Xenopus tropicalis: one gene and its partner. Each later gene encodes a partner of the first gene's protein in a complex. Links are inferred from orthologs where the notes say so. Each region holds a gene or a part of one and is shown on either strand. Other genes may lie near its edges.

Region 1 (4,476 bases):
TCAGGTGACAGGTCAGAGCTCTATATAAAGGGGTCCCCAGATAAGATGTCCCTGAAGATCTCCAGGGTGACAGACTTTGTGGCAGCAGCAGATAAGGAGTTGCCCACCCTACCTTCCCTATATTAAAAGAAAAATTAATTCTGAAAAAAAACAAAATTTGTTGCAGCTTGGAGGATTGTTGGTGTTAATAAATTTGGAAAGCAAGTTCTTGAACTGGGGCTTCCAGCTGGTGGTGTGGCGGGAGCTGGAAAATTAATAAAGGCGGTCTGTCAACAGCTGTACATGGGCTGCCCAGGTAAGAACTATTATGCTCTATGTTTGTGTAAACAGTTATGAAAGTTGATTTTTATATGGTCATATGAAAATGATTGTAATGTAAAGTTTTAAAATAAACAAGCTGTGGCCTTCTCCTCCATCAAGCAAGTGTCAGTGTCTGTTTGCCCTGCTTACCTATGCCATGTCCCCACTGGCTGATTGCATTCATTGCTCTGCACAATAGTCCTTTCTGTGACAGCTTCCTATAACTCCCAGGGGGAATCTGCATATGGAGCTGCATGTTGTTTTCACCTGTGGAGTTACATTAATGTTAGGTGTTTGCAATATTATTGCATATTGGACTTAAGGAGTTTTAGTACATTTTGGGTATGTTTGCGGTTTACATCCCACCAAGGGGCAGATTTACCAAAGTGTGAAATTAGAGCTTACTTTATCCTTTAGGAATGAATAGAAAGTGGGTGAATATTACCACGGTGAGCTCTAATTTCACACTTAAATAAATCTGCCCCCAAGTGCTAACATGGAAGTGTTCAGGGAAGAAGGAAAACTGTAACATACTTACCATGATTTCCCTTTCCTTCTTTTCAGCATTTCACTTTTGTAAGGAGTGAGAAGAGTTTTCTATCATCTCTCTATCTCTCTCACTCGGGCCCAGATTTGTGACAAGGCTACAAAGGCCAGGGCCTAGGGCGACACAAATTTAGGGGAGGCATGCCACCCAGCCACACCTGGACTTTGCTCACACTCAGAGCACTGGGGACAGGACACACAGAAAACTTCAGTGCGCTCGTCCTGTCCCCAGTACTCCTTATCTCCTTATGTGAGCTAAATGGATGCGCATGTGCGTTTCCGAGGGCGATGTGGGGGGGGGGGTGTCGGGGGGGGCAGGGAATTGGAGCGTCTTCTGGGTGCCCTCATTAGAAATCTGGCACTGCTCTCTCTTTCTCATCTATCTATCTATCTATTTATTTATCGCTGTCATTTATCTATCTATAGCTGTTCATCTATCTATCTATAGCGGTCATTTATCTATATATAGCTGTCATCTATCTATCTATCTATCTATCTATCTATCATCTATCTATCGAATGCACTCTAGCACAGTGAAAAGCTGGGGCATTAAACTAGAGGGGTATAAATGGTGACACAAATAAACTAGCAGAAAAAGCAGAAATAGGTAGCGATAAATGGTTTCAAAAACAGAACAGTTACAGCTTGTGCCAGGATATCATCTATGGAATAACAATTTTAGGGTTTCTATTATTAGCTGCAGCCAGAGCATGAGAGAGCTATAATTTTTATGGATTTTTATTAAACTGAATGAGCACCAAGTCCCCGTGGCTTGATAATATTAGGACCCTGGAGCAGAGACTGATTCATGCTCAGCACAAACCCCACCCTCAAGGCTGTTCGGGCTTTTGTGTGACTTGAGTGTTCTCACAAGGTAGCAGAGAGGATGTCAAATCCCAATGAAGGTTGTGCCTGCCCGGAATGTGTGTGTGCTTCATGTGAAGCTGCTGAGGCTCTGGCAGCAGGCACCTCTCTCCACTTGTTCCAGCTGTTAGCAGAGTGTGCAGGACAAAGTGCTCCATGCATCGCCTGCTGCTCTAAATCTGCAGTTATCCATGCCCCTCTAATTATTACTTCATGAATGTTATCACCAGAGAGAAGCACCGGGAGCCGCCAGATGAACAGCAGCATGAAAGGAGCCAAACTTGATCATCTACTTTATAGGAACTGGTCTGAGCAAGATGTGAATGGGACACAGGAGCCCTTTCTAAACCCAAATGCTGATTATGATGATGAATTTCTACGCTACCTTTGGAGGGAGTATCTGCACCCCAAACAATATGAATGGGTGCTAATCGTTGGCTATATCATAGTCTTCATCATTGCTCTTATTGGAAACATACTAGGTAAGTAATACAATAGAGATCATTTCCTTTAGCTGAATGGAATATCAAACTAAAGAGAAACATTGTTGAAGTTTGCCTGTTTCCCATTGTCATTTACATGCATAGAAGATTGATAATGGTACATAGAAATATACTGGTGCCTGAGCAATAGAAGGCAAGTTCATTCCTTCATCTAATTTCTAAAGATAAGTTTGGCTATATATTGGACAGATATAATAGATGATATAATAGAAAATGTCATGATTGTGCATTGGGGATTCTTAAATAGATTATATTCCACTGCAGCAAGAAATGACAGGACTGCTCAGGGCAGTTGGGAACAGTGAAAACTGAATATCATACTGTGGGTATCTGAGACAGAGACTGGTTACTCTCTAAACTGTGTGCTTATTATTGGTTATATTTTATAAAACATATATATTATATATTGTTATTATTGTTTTGCACTGTAAAGCCACTTTTGAAAAGATAAAGCAGCATTAGCATAACTTGTACTTGTATCCAGTGAGATAATAACATAAATGAATGAGTGAGAAAATCCATCTTTTCTGACACCCTAGAACAGAAAAGTCCAGGTACTGTAGTCTTTTGGTTTAACTGTGTAACTGTGTCTCCCAATCAGAGCTGATCCAGTGCACTAGATATCCACACTAGATGTTGCTTGCTCAGATGGGCTACCTTTAGAAAACTTGATCTCGTACAGCCTAATGGTCACATAGAGGCATACTGTATGGTGGCAACATTGACCCATCTCTGTCCAGAGACCTTGTGTAGAACTACCTGTTTTACTGAGTCAGCAGTAATCCTGTAAACACTCATGAACGTAATCCACTGTAATCCTGCAGATACATATGATCATAATCCCCTGTAATCAGATACTGTAGAACATGTAGCAATGTATGTACATAATGCCCAGCAAGCACATTATCTCTAGCAAGCAAATACAAATAATGTAACCCTAACAATTCCCCTTTTTTCAAGTAGATAATTCAAAGTAACACTGCTTGCACAAGTGGAACATAAACCTTAACAATCCTTCAGCAACTTTCACATAATATCCAGTAATCTGACAGGCACCCTGGTACTTAACACCCTGCAGTTGTATTGGCATATCTGCATATTATGCCTAGTGAACCCCCAGTAATTCTTCTAGCAAATTCACATACACAAAAAACCACTAGTACACCTACATGTGGAATTATAAATATATTTCCATATACATACTAGCATATAATACCTAGCAATCCCATGTAGTAATCCTAAAGGTGCCCTGACACATAATATCCAGTATTCTCATATGATAGTTACTATATAATCTCAAATAATCCTACAGGCACCTTGACACATAATCCCCAGTATTCCCATATGCAAATTACTATGTAATCTCAAATAATCCTACAGGCACCCTGACACATAATCCCCAGTATTCCCATATGCAAGTTACTATATAATCTTAACTAATCCTACAGGCACCCTGACACATTGTCCCCAGTATTCCCATATGCAAGTTACTATGTAATCTCAAGTAATCCTACAGGCACCCTGACACATAATCCCCAGTATTCCCATATGCAAGTTACTATATAATCCCATGTAATCCTACAGGATCTCTGACACATAATCCCCATCCTACAGGATCTCTGACACATAATCCCCAGTATTCTTATATGCAAATTATTATGTAATCTCACATAATCCTTCAGGCACCCTGACACATAACCCCAGTATTCTCATATGCAAATTACTATGTAATCTCAAATATTCCTACAGGCACCCTGACACATAACCCCAGTAATCCTGCAGGTCTGTAACCCCAGCAAACCTAAGAGTACATTGGCACATAACCCATAGCATCACTTTAATTTAGCAGCCAGTATATAAGAACACAACAGCTTCATACATTCTTCTTGAAACTGACAGGCAGTATGTTATATTGCAGTTATATGCCTATCTTTATGCTGGCACCCAGTATACGTTTATTTCAGTTATATGCATAGTGAAAAAAATTGCAGATAACTCATCAATTTGACAAATTTATGTCTTCATCTTTCCACTGGCAGCCAATATATAATAATGTCAAATGTAGATGTCCAACTTTATACTGGCAGATAGTATGCAATAATCCCACAGTTATATCCATCCAATGCTGCCTGCAGTGATGTAGTGATGCTGGCATTCAGTATATAATAATGACATCGTTATATGCCCAGCTTTATACTGGCAGATTATATCTAATATTGCCATAGATATATGTGCCTAGCATTAAACTGGCAGCCAGTATGTA
Region 2 (4,347 bases), on another chromosome or scaffold:
TGGCCTTCAGGCTGGGCCCCCTTAGCCCATAACAAGGTTACAGATATATAGAAACATTGGGGTAACAGTCACCCCGCTATAGTTCCAGGGGTACCCAGGGCACAAATAAGCACTCACCCCAAATCCCCCCCTAACTGGCCTTCAGGCTGGGCCCCCTTAGCCCATAACAAGGTTACAGATATATAGAAACATTGGGGTAACAGTCACCCCGCTATAGTTCCAGGGGTACCCAGGGCACAAATAAGCACTCACCCCAAATCCCCCCCTAACTGGCCTTCAGGCTGGGCCCCCTTAGCCCATAACAAGGTTACAGATATATAGAAACATTGGGGTAACAGTCACCCCGCTATAGTTCCAGGGGTACCCAGGGCACAAATAAGCACTCACCCCAAATCCCCCCCCTAACTGGCCTTCAGGCTGGGCCCCCTTAGCCCATAACAAGGTTACAGATATATAGAAACATTGGGGTAACAGTCACCCCGCTATAGTTCCAGGGGTACCCAGGGCACAAATAAGCACTCACCCCAAATCCCCCCCTAACTGGCCTTCAGGCTGGGCCCCCTTAGCCCATAACAAGGTTACAGATATATAGAAACATTGGGGTAACAGTCACCCCGCTATAGTTCCAGGGGTACCCAGGGCACAAATAAGCACTCACCCCAAATCCCCCCCTAACTGGCCTTCAGGCTGGGCCCCCTTAGCCCATAACAAGGTTACAGATATATAGAAACATTGGGGTAACAGTCACCCTGCTATAGTTCCAGGGGTACCCAGGGCACAAATAAGCACTCACCCCAAATCCCCCCCTAACTGGCCTTCAGGCTGGGCCCCCTTAGCTCAGGCAAGTGGTGGGGGGCCACAGTAGGGGCCACACTGAGTTCTGTGTATCCCAAAGCCATTTATATGCCATTAACTAACCCTCCCTGTGTGAGGAAGACGTCGTTGCTATAAATACGTTGGCCTCATCGAATCGTATTAGTCCCTTTATCTGGAAGCCATTAATTAACTCCGTAAAGGGTTCTTTAGCAGGGCGAGACCCGAATGCCTTTATTTGCTGACACCCAATAGTTGCCTAGAGCTCGGCCATTGAGACGCCATGACTCCTTCCCAGATCGCTATGGAGGCCTTTCTGAAGAACATTCCAAGCAGAAAGCTCATTAGTCTAATAACCGCGTCCCATGATAACGAGCGCAGTGGGTAACAATGTCCGAGTCGTTAAGTCGTTAATGAGAATCATTATGATCCCTACTCATGTTTGGCCTAAATGTCTGTAAGAATCCCGGTGAAATTCCACTGGTGGCGGCTCCTTGTTAACGCCGGGTAACTCATGGTAATAATACGTATTCAGAGGACAATGGCGCAGGCTGGAGTATTGGGGGCTGACGAGCCTCCTTTTGTCACCAAGAGACGTCGCGCCACCAAATTCATTAAAATGATGCTCCTTTTGTACAATGTTCCCCCAAGCTTTGTAGCGAAGGCCGGCCCCCCGAAATAGACGCATTTCTTGATGAAGGGATCCGTATATATAAAGCGGAGAGAGATGCTCAGATCTTCTCAGATCTACCGGTCCGAGGGGAAGGTACGGAGCCTCTAGAACACGCGCCCGGAACGATGGAGTCTCTAAATGAGAAGGTAAGGGACGGAGTAGGGGAACCTTCCTGATATTGGGATCCATAGAAGGGAGATTTATTTTCATATACAGGTATGGGACCCATTGGAAGACCCGGCGGTTGGGGGTACACATAGGTACCAATGGCAAAGTTAGAGGAGGGGGGGAGGTCCTCAAGAACAATTTTAAAAAACTAGGCAATAAGTTGAGGGCGAGGATTTCCAAGGTAATTTTCTCAGAGATATTCCCTGTGCCTCGGGCAGGGGGAACTCAGGGAGATTAACCCCCGGCTGAGAGATTGGGGTTCTGGAGAACTGGGCTGATTTCTCAGGCTCTTTGCCTGGGATGGGGGGCACCTCGATGATGATGGGGCAGCTGCTTTGGGGGAGAAGATGGCTAGAGGGTTGGGGGGGGGGGGAGAAGGTGGCTAGAGGGTTGGGGGAGGGGGGTGAGGGTGCAGTGGGTAATATTGGGGGGTATACATTGTTTTGGAGGGACAGGGGCAATAGGAAAGGAGGAGGGGAGTGTCTGTTCATTAAGCAGGAATTAACTGCAAATATTAAGGCAGAAGTGATGGGGTTAACAGAGGGAGCTGAATCCTTATGGGCTGAGCGTCTCACAGATGGTTAAGAGTCTAACCATCCAAACTAATTCTAGGGGTATGCTATAGACTAGGGATACCCCGAACCCCCCCTTATGGATTATCCAAATCTCGAACTGGTTCGGCCAGGACCGTGGATTCGGCCGAAAACGAATCCATAAAAAAAGGGCTGGAATCCGGGATTCAGTGCTTCGCTACTATAGCCCCCCTAATGTAAGCGAAGGGGGGGAGGCAAATAGAAAAGGCTGCTAGTTTGGGGCAAGTGATAATAATGGGGGATTTTAATTACCCTGATACTGACTGGGGCAATAGTACTGCCAGGGCAGTAAGTGGGAACAAGTTTATAAACTTTATGGCACCGGTTGTTGAGGAGCCAACCAGGAACCTGCTGTATGGGATCTAGTGATCTCTAATGGCCCAGAACGTATAGCAAATGTGCGAGTGACTGCAGCTTCAGAGACTTCATATTCAACATTATGTCTATTTCTCTTCTGTTTGTATTGTGTCAGGCATTTTACTCAGGAGCAGTGTTTGCCCTCAAAACCTCAGCAGAGAGTGTTTCTGTATAGTGTCAGGCTGGTGTAGCTCAGTCCATCCATAGAGAGAGATATATAGGATAGATACATAGACAGACAGACTGATAGATATAGATGAGAGAGAGAGAGACAGAGAGAGAGAGGAATGGATGGAGAGAGACAGAGATACAGATCAGTTTATATAGAGGCACCGCTATAAGTAATGCTGTACAGTACAGACAGGAGGGATTAGCAGTGACAGGGTCCCGGTGCTTAGAGCTTACAATCTAATGGGATGAGAAACATATAGACATATATAGTAATGTAATGTTTGGGGCATTGGCCCATAAATGTCAGTGTAACGACTCCCCTGCTTTCTATCTGCAATAAGATAAAATAATAATGAGCTTTAGGATCAAACTCATGTTCCATTCCCCATTCCATCGTACCCCCATTCCATCGTACCCCCATTGCCCCGTACCCCCATACCCCCATTCCATCATTCCATCGTACCCCCATTCCATTGTACCCCCATTCCATCGTACCCCCATTGCCCCGTACCCCCATACCCCCATTCCATTGTACCCCCATTCCATCGTACCCCCATTGCCCCGTACCCCCATTCCATCGTACCCCCATTCCATCGTACCCCCATTCCATCGTACCCCCATTGCCCCGTACCCCCATACCCCCATTCCATTGTACCCCCATTGCCCCGTACCCCCATTCCATCGTACCCCCATTGCCCCGTACCCCCATTCCATCGTACCCCCATTGCCCCGTACCCCCATACCCCCATTCCATCGTACCCCCATTGCCCCGTACCCCCATACCCCCATTCCATTGTACCCCCATTGCCCCGTACCCCCATTCCATCGTACCCCCATTGCCCCGTACCCCCATTGCATCGTACCCCCATTCCATTGTACCCCCATTGCCACATACCATTGTACCCCCATTGCCACATACCCCCATTCCATTGTACCCCCATTGACCCGTACCCCCATTCCATCGTACCCCCATTCCATCATACCCCCATTCCATCGTACCCCCATTCCATCATACCCCCATTGCCCCATACCCCCATTGCCCCATACCCCCATTGCCCCGTACCCCCATTGCCCCGTACCCCCAGCACCTACACAGTGAGGCTGCAATGAGTTGCGCCTACAAACATCAATATTTTCTATATCGGTTCATACACCCCGAATCTCTTTCCGTTGCAGCTCCGTGTGTTATTAATGATATATTAATTCACTGACTCTGCTATAAATACTGTGTTCTATGGGCACAATCTTGGCCTTTATACATATTGTGTCTTCACTATCACTTTAAAGGGGTTAACCTTTAGTAGGATGTAGAGAGTGATTATTTTTTATTATTTTTTATTATGATTTTATTATTTGTAGTTTAGTTATTTTGATTTTTGTTCAGCAGCTCTGCAGTCTGGAGTTTCAGCAGCTATTTGGTTGCTAGGGTCCAAGTTACCTTAGCAACCAGGGAGTGGTTTTAATGAGAGACTAGTACATGAATAGGAGAGGGACTAAATAGAAAGATAAGTTATAAAAAGTAACAATAACAATAAAACTGGAGCCTCACAGAGCAATAGGGTTTTGGCTCAG

What was found.
Region 2: the proteins of hcrtr2 (region 1) and hcrt are in contact, whole or in part, in a cryo-EM structure (PDB 7L1U), measured with the Homo sapiens proteins. The link is inferred for Xenopus tropicalis from reciprocal best matches to the Homo sapiens genes HCRTR2 and HCRT. Residues at the interface, in NP_001371201.1 of Homo sapiens: Thr111, Val114, Trp120, Pro131, Gln134, Thr135, Val138, Gln187, Val209, Cys210, Asp211, Phe227, Thr231, Ile320, Ser321, Asn324, Lys327, Arg328, Phe333, Ala334, Thr336, Arg339, Val342, Tyr343, Phe346, His350, Tyr354; in NP_001515.1 of Homo sapiens: Asn89, His90, Ala91, Ala92, Gly93, Ile94, Leu95, Thr96, Met97.

What each region holds. Positions count from the first base shown.
Region 1 is NC_030681.2:96,130,942-96,135,417, reverse strand, and holds the start of hcrtr2 (orexin receptor type 2), read left to right. Parts: upstream 1-1,378; 5' UTR 1,379-1,927; coding exon 1,928-2,192; intron 2,193-4,476. UniProt on the Homo sapiens protein: Nonselective, high-affinity receptor for both orexin-A and orexin-B neuropeptides. Triggers an increase in cytoplasmic Ca(2+) levels in response to orexin-A binding.
Region 2 is NC_030686.2:6,727,805-6,732,151, forward strand, and holds the start of hcrt (orexin), read left to right. Parts: upstream 1-1,431; 5' UTR 1,432-1,611; coding exon 1,612-1,632; intron 1,633-4,347. UniProt on the Homo sapiens protein: Neuropeptides that play a significant role in the regulation of food intake and sleep-wakefulness, possibly by coordinating the complex behavioral and physiologic responses of these complementary homeostatic functions.